Linked DNA regions of Rattus norvegicus. The protein of the gene in region 3 binds, or shares a complex with, the protein of the main gene of each other region. Links are inferred from orthologs where the notes say so. Each region holds a gene or a part of one and is shown on either strand. Other genes may lie near its edges.

Evidence for each region.
Region 1: the proteins of Timp1 (region 3) and Mmp10 are in contact, whole or in part, in a crystal structure (PDB 3V96), measured with the Homo sapiens proteins. The link is inferred for Rattus norvegicus from reciprocal best matches to the Homo sapiens genes TIMP1 and MMP10. Residues at the interface, in NP_003245.1 of Homo sapiens: Cys24, Thr25, Cys26, Val27, Pro28, Asn37, Leu57, Tyr58, Pro87, Met89, Glu90, Ser91, Val92, Cys93, Arg98, Thr121, Cys122, Cys155, Leu156, Ser157, Ile158, Gln173, Leu174, Gly177, Ser178, Glu179, Lys180; in NP_002416.1 of Homo sapiens: Phe170, Tyr171, Gly177, His178, Ser179, Leu180, Ala181, His182, Ala183, Tyr184, Pro185, Tyr191, Asp205, Ala206, Ser207, Gly208, Val214, His217, Glu218, His221, Phe226, His227, Thr231, Tyr236, Pro237, Leu238, Tyr239, Asn240, Phe242, Thr243.
Region 2: the proteins of Timp1 (region 3) and Mmp3 are in contact, whole or in part, in a crystal structure (PDB 1UEA), measured with the Homo sapiens proteins. The link is inferred for Rattus norvegicus from reciprocal best matches to the Homo sapiens genes TIMP1 and MMP3. Residues at the interface, in NP_003245.1 of Homo sapiens: Cys24, Thr25, Cys26, Val27, Pro28, Pro29, Val52, Thr56, Leu57, Tyr58, Pro87, Ala88, Met89, Glu90, Ser91, Val92, Cys93, Thr121, Cys122, Leu156, Ser157, Pro159, Gln173, Leu174, Gly177, Glu179; in NP_002413.1 of Homo sapiens: Phe100, Thr102, Phe103, Phe171, Tyr172, Gly178, Asn179, Val180, Leu181, Ala182, His183, Ala184, Tyr185, Ala186, Thr207, Thr208, Gly209, Thr210, Val215, His218, Glu219, His222, Phe227, His228, Tyr237, Pro238, Leu239, Tyr240, His241, Ser242.

What each region holds. Positions count from the first base shown.
Region 1 is NC_086026.1:12,977,640-12,980,492, forward strand, and holds part of Mmp10 (stromelysin-2 precursor), read left to right. Parts: intron 1-27; coding exon 28-192; intron 193-737; coding exon 738-879; intron 880-1,678; coding exon 1,679-1,812; intron 1,813-2,484; coding exon 2,485-2,644; intron 2,645-2,853. UniProt on the Homo sapiens protein: Can degrade fibronectin, gelatins of type I, III, IV, and V; weakly collagens III, IV, and V. Activates procollagenase.
Region 2 is NC_086026.1:12,928,180-12,931,829, reverse strand, and holds part of Mmp3 (stromelysin-1 preproprotein), read right to left. Parts: intron 3,153-3,650; coding exon 2,988-3,152; intron 2,835-2,987; coding exon 2,690-2,834; intron 1-2,689. UniProt on the Homo sapiens protein: Metalloproteinase with a rather broad substrate specificity that can degrade fibronectin, laminin, gelatins of type I, III, IV, and V; collagens III, IV, X, and IX, and cartilage proteoglycans.
Region 3 is NC_086039.1:3,768,200-3,772,649, reverse strand, and holds the start of Timp1 (metalloproteinase inhibitor 1 precursor), read left to right. Parts: upstream 1-1,527; 5' UTR 1,528-1,551; intron 1,552-1,901; exon of another isoform or gene 1,902-1,943; intron 1,944-2,290; 5' UTR 2,291-2,301; coding exon 2,302-2,422; intron 2,423-4,211; coding exon 4,212-4,291; intron 4,292-4,450. UniProt on the Homo sapiens protein: Metalloproteinase inhibitor that functions by forming one to one complexes with target metalloproteinases, such as collagenases, and irreversibly inactivates them by binding to their catalytic zinc cofactor.

The DNA.
Region 1 (2,853 bases), on a different chromosome or scaffold from region 3:
TCTGAACATTTGTGGTTTCTCAAACAGGGACCAATTTATTCCTGGTTGCTGCGCATGAACTTGGTCACTCCCTGGGTCTCTTTCACTCAAACAACAAAGAATCTCTGATGTACCCAGTCTACAGGTTCTCCACGAGCCAAGCCAACATTCGCCTTTCTCAGGATGATATAGAGGGCATTCAATCCCTGTATGGTGAGCATGAAGAAAAAGAGGCCTGGGGTGGGCTTGCTTTAGTCAGTGCTCTTTAAGAATGTGATTCAGTAAGTCTCAGGAAAGCTTTGTTTTTATTTGTGTGTGTGTGTGTGTGTGTGTGTGTGTGTGTGTGTGTGTGTGTGTGTGGTGTGTGTGCGTGTGTGTGGTGTGTGTGTGTGTGTGTGAGAGAGAGAGAGAGAGAGAGAGAGAGAGAGAGAGAGAGAAAGAGAAAGAGGGAGAGAGAGCAAGCGCTATGCATGCCTGTGTGTGTATACTATGGCATACATGTGAAGGTCAACCTGTGGGAGTGGGTTATCTCCTTTGATCATATGTGTCCTGTGTGGTGATGACATGAGACATCCCAAGTTGTCAGGCCTCCAGCAGGTTCCTTTACTACCAGCTGAGCCTTCTCTCTGGCCCCAGGATCAAATATCTACACACTGCTTCATCTCAAAACACCATGAAGAAGTTTGGATAGTTTGTAAATTGTTTCATGCTTCCCTGACCTACTAATACTTGCTTTTTCTAAACTTCTCTCCCTTCAGGAGCCCGCCCCTCCTCTGATGCCACAGTGGTTCCTGTGCCCTCTGTCTCTCCAAAACCTGAGACCCCAGTCAAATGTGATCCTGCTTTGTCCTTTGATGCAGTCACCATGCTGAGAGGGGAATTCCTATTCTTTAAAGACAGGTTAGACAAAAACATTTTCCTAGCTACTCTCCTGGTATTCAATGCTCAAAAAGAAAAATAAACTTGAAATTAGATATAATGAATGTATAGAATAAATGTAATATAATAAACAATACATTTCAGGCGTGTTTCAAAATCATTCAGCTCTGGTTTAAAGAGTATTTTTAAAGACCCCCTTGGCATTGTCCAGAATATTTTTTTAGACTCCCAGAAGATGATTATTTTTGGAAAGTAGAATGTAAGATCCATACAATCAGGGAAGTCTGTCCCTTATTTTTATTTTTCATTTCTTATATATCATAACTCATAGAACTTCTAAAAGCACCAGCCATCTTTAGAACCAGACAAGTATCTTTATTCTTGTTAGGAAGTGCTATTATTTCAATTAATTCATTTTAGAAAATATGATTCATGTGCATGCAGAATTCTCAAGTAGTATCAAAAGATGTAAGAACAATCCCTTCCATTTGTGCTGTCCCTGAGCCCTACCTATGTGTACCTCCTGCCACCAATTTTTTTGTACTGACTTCCAAGGTCCTCACATTTTAAAAGATAAATGTCATTTTAAAATTCTTAAAATATATAATATTTTACATACTCTTGAGTGGAATCGAGCTGAGGAATTTTATTGGAACAGGGTGAATGTTCCTGTTAACCTGGGCTGTATCCACTGCCTGGAATCTCATGTAGAACTCCAGCGCACACTGCTGCTGCAGATGAAGCAGCATCAAGCAGAAGGCTGTTCCCCAGGCTTAGTGTTTTTAAAGAGAAAGACTATTGTGGTTTTCATATATTACAGGCACTTCTGGCGTAGAACCCAGTGGAATCCCGAGCCTGAATTCCATTTGATTTCAGCATTTTGGCCCTCTCTTCCTTCAGGCTTAGATGCTGCCTATGAGGCAAATAACAAGGACAGAGTTCTGATTTTTAAAGGTAAGAACTGTACAAAAGTTTGTTGAAAGAAATCTTATTACAACGCCTTTGCACTATGAAGTCTCTTCATTGTATTAAATTTGAGATGTTTTATTGGAATGAGAACAGATCAAAATTGGTGATTGTGAACGAGCATTTTAAACAAATCTGAGCTTCAACAAGTTTGCCTTATAAGGTGAATCTTTTAAGGGAAGTCTTAGAAGTGTAGACTAAGTGGTCATTATAAGAAATGGTTATGATAACTCATAGGGAATAAGTAATTGATATAAATACAGAGTAAATACATAAAAATGAACTCAGAAAAGACAGTGAACATGTTCATCTATTTTTTCATTTACTATTTACTCATTCAGAAAGTATCATTTTTAAGGCAAGGTCTTAGTATGTACCCCCAGATGATCTCAAACTCACTTACTGTGTAGGTAAGGCTGGCCTCAAACCCCTAGAAATCCACCTGCCTCTGACTCCCCAGTGTCAGGCTTAAAGGTCTGTGCCAACATACTCAACCAGGAACTATTGTTTTAAATACCTGCGATGTCCTAAGCACAGAGTTGGCAGTTATGAAAAAACAAGACTTTGGCTTTCATCTTTATCGCAACAATTCACTATTCTCATTTCTAAAACCAATTAGCTTCATTTGAACAAATTTTCTTGGGTGTGGTTATTCAACAGGAAGTCAGTTCTGGGCAGTCCGAGGAAATGAAGTCCAAGCAGGTTACCCAAAGAGGATCCACACTCTTGGCTTTCCTCCCACCGTGAAGAAGATTGATGCAGCTGTTTTTGAAAAGGAGAAGAAGAAGACGTATTTCTTTGTAGGTGACAAATACTGGAGGTGAGTTACATTGGGCAACTCTGCTTAGAGCACAATTCCGGAGGTTAGTTCTCTCTTTTGAAGGATTCCTGCATGCCCTCTAATGTTCCCAAAATTCAAATTTTCTGATTAAGTAAAAGACAATGATTCAACTTGACAAACAGGGCTTTTCCAGTGTGCATCACTGGCCATGAGGAATAGTGAACTGGAGGGCCACAGGCATACTGCCT
Region 2 (3,650 bases), on a different chromosome or scaffold from region 3:
GAGAAAGAAATTAGAGAAATGACAACCTTCATAATAGTCACAAATAACAAAAAATACCTCGGAGTGACTCTAACCAAGCAAGTGAAAGATCTGTATGACAAGAACTACAAGTCTCTGAAGAAAGAAATCGAAGAAGATCTCAGAAGATGTAAAGACTTCCCATGCTCATGTATTGGCAGAATTAATATAGCAAAAATGGCCATTTTGCCAAAAGCAATCTACAGATTCAGAGAAATTACCATCAAATTTCCAATTCAATTTTTCATAGAGTTAGAAAGAACAATTTGCAAATTCATTTGAAATGACAAAAGCCCAAGATAGTGAAAACTATCCTCAACAATGAAAGAACTTCTGTGGGAATCACCATCCCTGACTTCAAGGTGTATTACAGATCAATAGTGATAAAAACTGTATGTTCTTGTTACAGAGACAGGCAGATAGATCAATGAAATAGAATTAGAGACCCAGAAATGAACCCAAAAACCTATGGTCACTTGATCTTTGACAAAAGAGCTAACACCATCCAGTGGATAAAAGATAGCATTTTCAACATATGCTGTTGGTTTAACTGGAGGTCAACCTGTAGAAGAATGCAAATCAATCCATTCTTATTGCCCTGTACAAAGCTTAAGTCCAAGTGGATGGATCAAGCTAAAACCATGTACACTGATACTAATAGAAGAAAAAGGGGGAAAGAACCTTGAACACATGGGCAGTGGGGAAAAGTTCCTGAACAAAACAACAATGGTTTATGTTCTAAGATCAAGAAACGACAAATGGGACCTCATAAAACTGTCAAGCTTCTGTAAGGCAAAGGATATTGTCATTAGGACAAAATGGCAACCAACAGCTTGGGAAAAGATCTTTACCAATCTTACACCTGACAGAGGGCTAATATCCAAAATATACAAAGAACTTGAGAAGTGAGACTCCAGAGAGCCAAATAACCTGATTAAAAATGGGGTACAGAGCTAAACAAAGAATTCTCAGCTGAGGAATATTGAAAGGCTGAGATGTACATAAAGAAATGTTCAACATCTTTAGTCATTAAGGAACTGAAAATCAAAACAATCCTGAGATACCACCTCACATCAGTCAGAATGGCTAAGATCAAAACTCATGTGACAGTAGATCCTGGCAAGGATGTGGAGAAAGAGGAAAATTCCTCCATTTTTGGTGGGATTGCAAGTTGGTACAACCATTCTGGAAATCAATCTTGTGGTTCCTCAGAAAATTGGACATAGTACTACCTGTGGACCCAGCTATACCACTGCTGGGCATCTACTCAAAAGATGCTCCAACTTATAGCAAGAATACATGTTCCACTATGTTCATAGCAGCCTTACTTATAATAACAAGAAGCTGGAAAGAGCCCAGATGTCCCTCAACAGAGGAATGGATATAGAAATTGTGGTACAGCTACACAATTTGTTAAGCAGCTATTAAAAAAGCAATGACTACATGAAATTCTAAGGCAAATGGATGGATCTAAAAAATACCATCCTGAGTTAGGTAACCCAGTCACAAAAGAATACACATGGTATGCACTCACTGATAAGTGGATATTAGTCCAAAAAACTTGCAATACTTAAAAAATAATTCACAGACCACATGAAGCTCAAGAAGAAGTATGATCAAAGTGCGGATGCTTCAGTTCTTCTTAAAAGGGGGAACAAAAATATTCATAGGAGGAGATATGGAAACAATGTTTGGAGCAGAGACTGAAGGAATGGCCATTCAGAGCCTGCCCCACCTGGGGATCCAGCTCATATATAGACAGTCATCAAAACTAAACAATATTGATGAATCCAAGAAGTACATGCTGACATGAGCCTGATATGGCTGTCTCCTGAGAGGCTCTGCCAGAGCATGACAAATACAGAGGTGAATGCTAGCAACAAACCATTGAACTGAGAACAGGGTCCCCATTGCAGGAGGTAGAGAAAGGATTGAAGGAGCTGAAGGGGCTTGCAACCCCAAAGGAACAATATCAACTAACCAGAGCTCCAAGGGACTAAACCACTACCCAAAGAGTACACATGGACATACCCATGGCTCCAGCTGCATATGTAGCAGAGGATGGCCTTGTTGGGCACCAGTGTGAGGAGAAGCCCTTGCTCCTGCCAAGGCTGGACCCCCCACCCAGTGTAGGGGAATGTCAGGGCAGGGTGGTGGGAAGGGGGGGTCGTTTGGGAGGGGGGAACACTCATACAAAAACAGAGAGGGGGATGGGATAAGGGGTTTATGGCCAGGAAACAGGGATAGGGAATAACATTTGAAATGTAAAAAAAATATCCAATAAAAATAAATATTTTCCTGTATACTTAAGAAAACCTAGAAGAATGCACAAGAGGTCTTGAAGTAGGGTGTGGGAAGTTTTGGGAAGAGGTACCAGCTGACAATTTCTAGGCCATTCTGGGCTTCTTAGAAAGACCCAGCCTCTCAGAATATTTACTGTTCATGTACAGAGAGGAATTAAATTATGATACTGGTCCTCAAAAAAAAAAAAAAAAAGAACTTGCCCATTTTAGGAACACACTGGGAAGCTAATACCAGATACCAAAGATGCCAAGCTCCAGAATTTGTTTTAAAAAAGGTTGAAATATATTTATCAATTTCCTGATTGTTGTAACTTTCTAAAATTTTTTTCATCAAAACTAGATAGTGATGCATGGCTCTTTGGTCTGACCTGTCTTTAAAGAACAAGACTTCTCCCCGCAGGGTGCTGACTGCATCGAAGGACAAAGCAGAGCTACACATTGGTAAGGTCTCAGGGTCCAGAGAGTTAGATTTGGTGGGTACCACGAGGACATCAGGGGATTCTGTGGGAGGTCCTAAAGGGAACAGATTTAAAGAAGCAACGTTAGAAAAAAACGTGACCTGCCTGTCAACTCCATGCTTCCCAAAAGCCCTCAAGTACTATGAATTCAACCACAGATACTCATATGGGCAAAGTCACAAGGACTCCTTTTTCCAGTTTCTCTCACCATAGAGGGATTGAATACCATCTACATCATCTTGAGAGAGATGGAAACGGGCCAGGTCTGTGGAGGACTTGTAGACTGGGTACATCAAAGCTTCAGCATTGGCTGAGTGAAAGAGACCCAGGGAGTGGCCAAGTTCATGAGCAGCAACCAGGAATAGGTTGGTACCTGTTGAAGAAATCATACATAATAAGTTTCTTATTTCTTGCCTACATGTATATCATCTAGGCCAGCTGAGCATACCATTTGTTTACTTCCTGGAAATGCACAGGTTCTTACTCACCTTGTTTGCTGCTTCATTGAGCAGTAGACTGACCACACACGCAGCAGAGGAGCAAGTGTATTTAACAACTCATGCTTGAGATGAGTCTAAAGTATGCAGACACAGCCAACAGTTCTCTTTGGCTTCAAGAAAGTCTGAATACCTGTTCTGGCTTATTGTCAGAAATGGAATGAAGACTATTACTTATTGTTTAGCATGTTAGAGCACTTTCTTTTCCATTGTCTATGAAAAACTTAACACTGCTCCAGTATGTAGTTAGCACTTGACAATTTCAGTACCAGTCAACTAATCACAGGGTATTCATCTCAATTCAAAAACCGTAATTAACCATAAGTAACCATAATTCTGTGCTTTCTGTTGGATCTTGCGACATTATTTTCCTG
Region 3 (4,450 bases):
AGTTGTCCTCTAAACAATACAGGCATGCCATGGCATAAGTACAGGTACACACACACACACACACACACACACACACACACACACACACACACACAATGTAAAATACAAACCCTTTAAAAGAGTGTATTGTACACAGTGAATACTCTGTTGAGTGCTGGCAGGAGGTTTTTGTGTCCTGTGGTTATTGGACTAAGCTACCTAAGTTAATAAAATGTAATTAGCTAAAGTAAATTGTACATAAAGACCTTGGCAATGATATACAGTAAGTACTCAATAAGTAGCTGTGATCATCACTACCACATTCTCTCTGTCTCTGTCTCTCTCTGTCACAGGTTCTTCCTATGTATCTCTGGCTGTCCTGGAACTCACTGTATAGACTAGATACCCTCTAATTTTCTGGATCAGCTTGCCCCCTGGGATTAAAACCATTGTCATTACTATTGGTCTGTCCTCCCTATCTTAATTGAGGGTGGTAATCAGCCCATAGAATCCTTCTACAGGACCCCAGGGAATATTCCTGCATCATCAGAAAGCTGGTGGGCAGCAGTTGCCTCATTCCCACTCCCACCAGGGGTGTGGACTGGTTGGTGGGGGAAGGGGAAGACTGGATGGAGTAGGGATGGTGGTTTTTCTACTGACTCACTAGCTTTTACCATCATTCACCCCCTCCCTCCCCCCATCCCCTTGCAACGCTCACCACACCATTCCCTGCTTGTCAAAGATTGTACCCTGCTTGAGTTAGTATTCCAGGTCAGGAAGCCTAGGTTTAAATCTTTATTGTCCTGTGACCCTAACAAAGTTCTTCACTTCAGCTATTTGCCTGTTTGGTCTTGTTTCTGTTTAAGACCTTAAGGGTCTCTTGTAGCCAAGGATATCTTCAAACATCTTCACTGGTATGTGCAGCCACTGCAAAGTTTGGGGAAGAAGTCACTACCTGGGCTCTGTCTGTATGCAGCCTCAGTTCCCTCCCAGTTCTGCCACACTCAACTGCCATCCTGGATAAGTCATAGACACTCTCAGTGTTATCAATTTCCCCACTATGTATTTGTGCCCCTTCTCCCATGTCATGTCCCTCAACTGTTTTTCTAGTTTGTCTCTCCTCTGCCACCCCTCACCAGAATTTCAGATCCACAGGAAAGGCCTTCTTGTGAGATTGTTACATAGTAGATGAAAGGCGTGGGAAAGAAATTATTGGCTTCAGCCATAGGAAGTTTGGGGAATGTGGGAAACCGGAGAGGCACAAGGCTTCAGGGGCTTAAGCGGTCTTTATTCTTCCCTTCTTCCCTTCAAGGCCGCCAGGAAGGAATGTGCATGACGGAGCTGGGGGAAGGGGGCGCAGTGGGCTGGCTGGCAGAAGAGGGAGTACTTTGGGCTCAGCCTGGGGCCCGCCCCTAGGCTTTGACTTCAGCAGTGGGTGGATGAGTAATGCGTCCAGGAAGCCTGGAGGCAGTGATTTCCGCGCCAACCCCACCCCTCGCATGGACATTTATTCTCCACCGCCAGTCCCTGCCTCCATCACTGCTGATCCGGACTCCTAGAGACACGCTAGAGGTAAGTGGGAGCCGGGTGTCCTGGCAGAACTGGGGTTTGCTTGGAGCCTGTGTTGGTGCGGCCACGAGGCCCATCCAGTCCCTTGCCAGACTAACCATTCAACTTGGCTTGCAGGTATCAGGATCTCTAGTTAGCCAAGGGGGAATATAAAGGGAGAGCGTCCTGAATGATTGTCCCCAGCGGGACTCTCCAGACTCTTTCATGCTCTTAGCATTCATCTCAAAGTGCCCCAAACCCACAAGCCTTTAATGCCTTTAAAACTTCCTAACTTGCTAATTCCCCCAAATTTCTTCATTGTCCCTCAATCTTTACGGCTCCTGTAACACCCCTGTTCTCTTTGCCATGTCTAGCTCCTGGAACTTCAAAAATTCCTCTGCCTTCAAATTCCTGAGGTATTCCTATTACTGTAAACCTCCAAATTCCCCAAGACCCTTAACCCCCCATTTTCCCCAGCTCCCTAAAACCACAAACCTATTCTAAATCCCCCAATATCTCTGAACTTCCCAGCCCATTATATTTTAATAGCCCTAACTCCCCATTATACTTCTCCAGTTTCCCAAACTCCAAATTCATCACTACACAAATGTCAGATTTCCCCAATTCTGTTAAATTCTCAAAGTTCTCAGCTCCCTTATTCACCAACTGTGTTCTCTAACCTAAAGAGTTCCTGAGTCTCCCTAGAGCCAACGGCCATGTAAGCCATTGGTTTGGGAACCTACTAACACCTAGTCTTTACCAGCAGATACCACGATGGCGCCCTTTGCATCTCTGGCCTCTGGCATCCTCTTGTTGCTATCATTGATAGCTTCCAGTAAAGCCTGTAGCTGTGCCCCAACCCACCCACAGACAGCTTTCTGCAACTCGGACCTGGGTGAGTCTGTCCCTCTTTCTGTCTGTCTTAGTCTAGTAGGGATCATTACAGTAGTTGTCCCTAGGACAGTTCTACTTACCCTTCCGTACATCTGCTTTTGCCACACTGACATCCTTGGGCTTAAGCCCACCTTTGTGCTGGCTGCTCCCAGTACCATGTACATGCTTTTCTGTAGTTATCCACATGCATGGCTTTCTCAAAAGTCACCTTACTGAGGTGCCTGCCAACTTTCTTTAATTTTAATACCAGCCACATAGTACTTCTGATCCCTTGTTAGGACACAGAAAGGCAGACTTCATTTAGAACTATGATAATCAGAATTTACAGAGAGAGAGAGAGAGAAAGAGAGAGATTGATTTTAGATAGATATTGATATTGGGCTTAACTTTCAACATTGCATAGGCAAATGGAACTCTATGGCCAAAGAACAATTTAATGTTGATGAATGGGAAATCACTGAAAAGAAATATCAAAGGTGGGCTGGAGAGATGGCTCAGTGGTTAAGAGCACCAACTACTCTTCCAGAGGTCCTGAGTTCAAATCCTACCAACCATCTATAATGGGATCTGATGCCCTCTTCTGGTATGTCTGAAGACAGCACAGTGTACTCATATACATAAAATAAATCTTAAACAAAAAGAAATATCAAAGGCAAGAGGATTCAGGCTAAGTCCATTAAAAAGATTTATTTTATTTATGTGTATGTTTGTGTGTGTTCCATGTGTGGTGTATGGGTGCCTGTGGAGTTCCCAAGGCATCAGATCTCTTGGAGCTGGAGTTATGGATGGTTGTTAGCTACCCTATGTAGATTCTAGGAACCAAACTTGGGAACTCAAAGAGCAGCAAGTACTCTTAACCATTAAGCCATCTCTATAGACTTTAAGCTCACTCTGTTTTTGAGACTAGGTCTCACTATATAACTCAGGCTGGTCTTGAAGCCCTGATTCTTCTCACTCAGCCTTCCAAGTGCTGAGATTGTTAGGTCTGTGCCACCACACCTAGTTTAGGACTCTTGAGGAAAACTTGTCTGGTGGTCCCATCACATACTGTGGAGAATAAGATGAGGGTTGGTGTTTTCACTAAGCTAATTTAAGGTACTTCCCTACAACTGTATTTGAAAGAGAAACTTCACTAATGAGCTTGGAAGAAGGTTAATGAGCCTGAATAAATTGTGGTCAAGCAAAGAATATCTGTCAACTTCCTCTCTAATTTCCCAACACACTTAATAGCTTCTAACAATCCACATACCTTTTCTCCCTCCTCCATACTGGGGATTGAACCTAGGACCTAGGCAAACACCGCACAATTGAGCTACAAACCCAACCCTTTTCTTGTGAATTTTTATTTTTAAACAAGTTCTCGCTAAATTGTCTAGACTGGTCTTGAACTCATACTAAAGCGATCCTCCATCAAGCTCTGACAGAACTGGGGTTACAGGCCTGTGCCACCATTTCTGGCTACATAATGTTAGTCTGTTTCCTCCTGACTTGAATGTGAGCTTCATAAGGAAATAGATTCCTGTGTTTGGGTCATTGTCCTTTCCCTAAGACCCTGAACAGTGGTTGGCATACATCAGGCACTCCAAAACATTTGTTGAGTAAGCCAACAAATGGATATATGAAAAGGGCTTAAAACAGTGCTTAAAAGAATAGACAATATTTAGATGAATCAACTGATGTGGAAGCCATCAAGTGTGCTGTCTATTTGAACTATGTTGTATATGTTTTGCTGCTATGGGTTCATGCTGCCTGCCCATTTGAATCCTTATTTTCCCCTTCTTTTCCTCTAGTTATAAGGGCTAAATTCATGGGTTCCCCAGAAATCATCGAGACCACCTTATACCAGCGTTATGAGATCAAGATGACTAAGGTATTTCTACTCCCTCCCCTCATAGCAGTTACCTAACCTCTTCCTCCCACTCAAAATAGAAGCAACTAGCCTTTCGTTGGTGTGGATGTTTTCTGTAAACTTGTGTTTAGACATATTGCCATCAGGAAAGAGAGTGGAGTGGGAGGATTATGTCAGTAA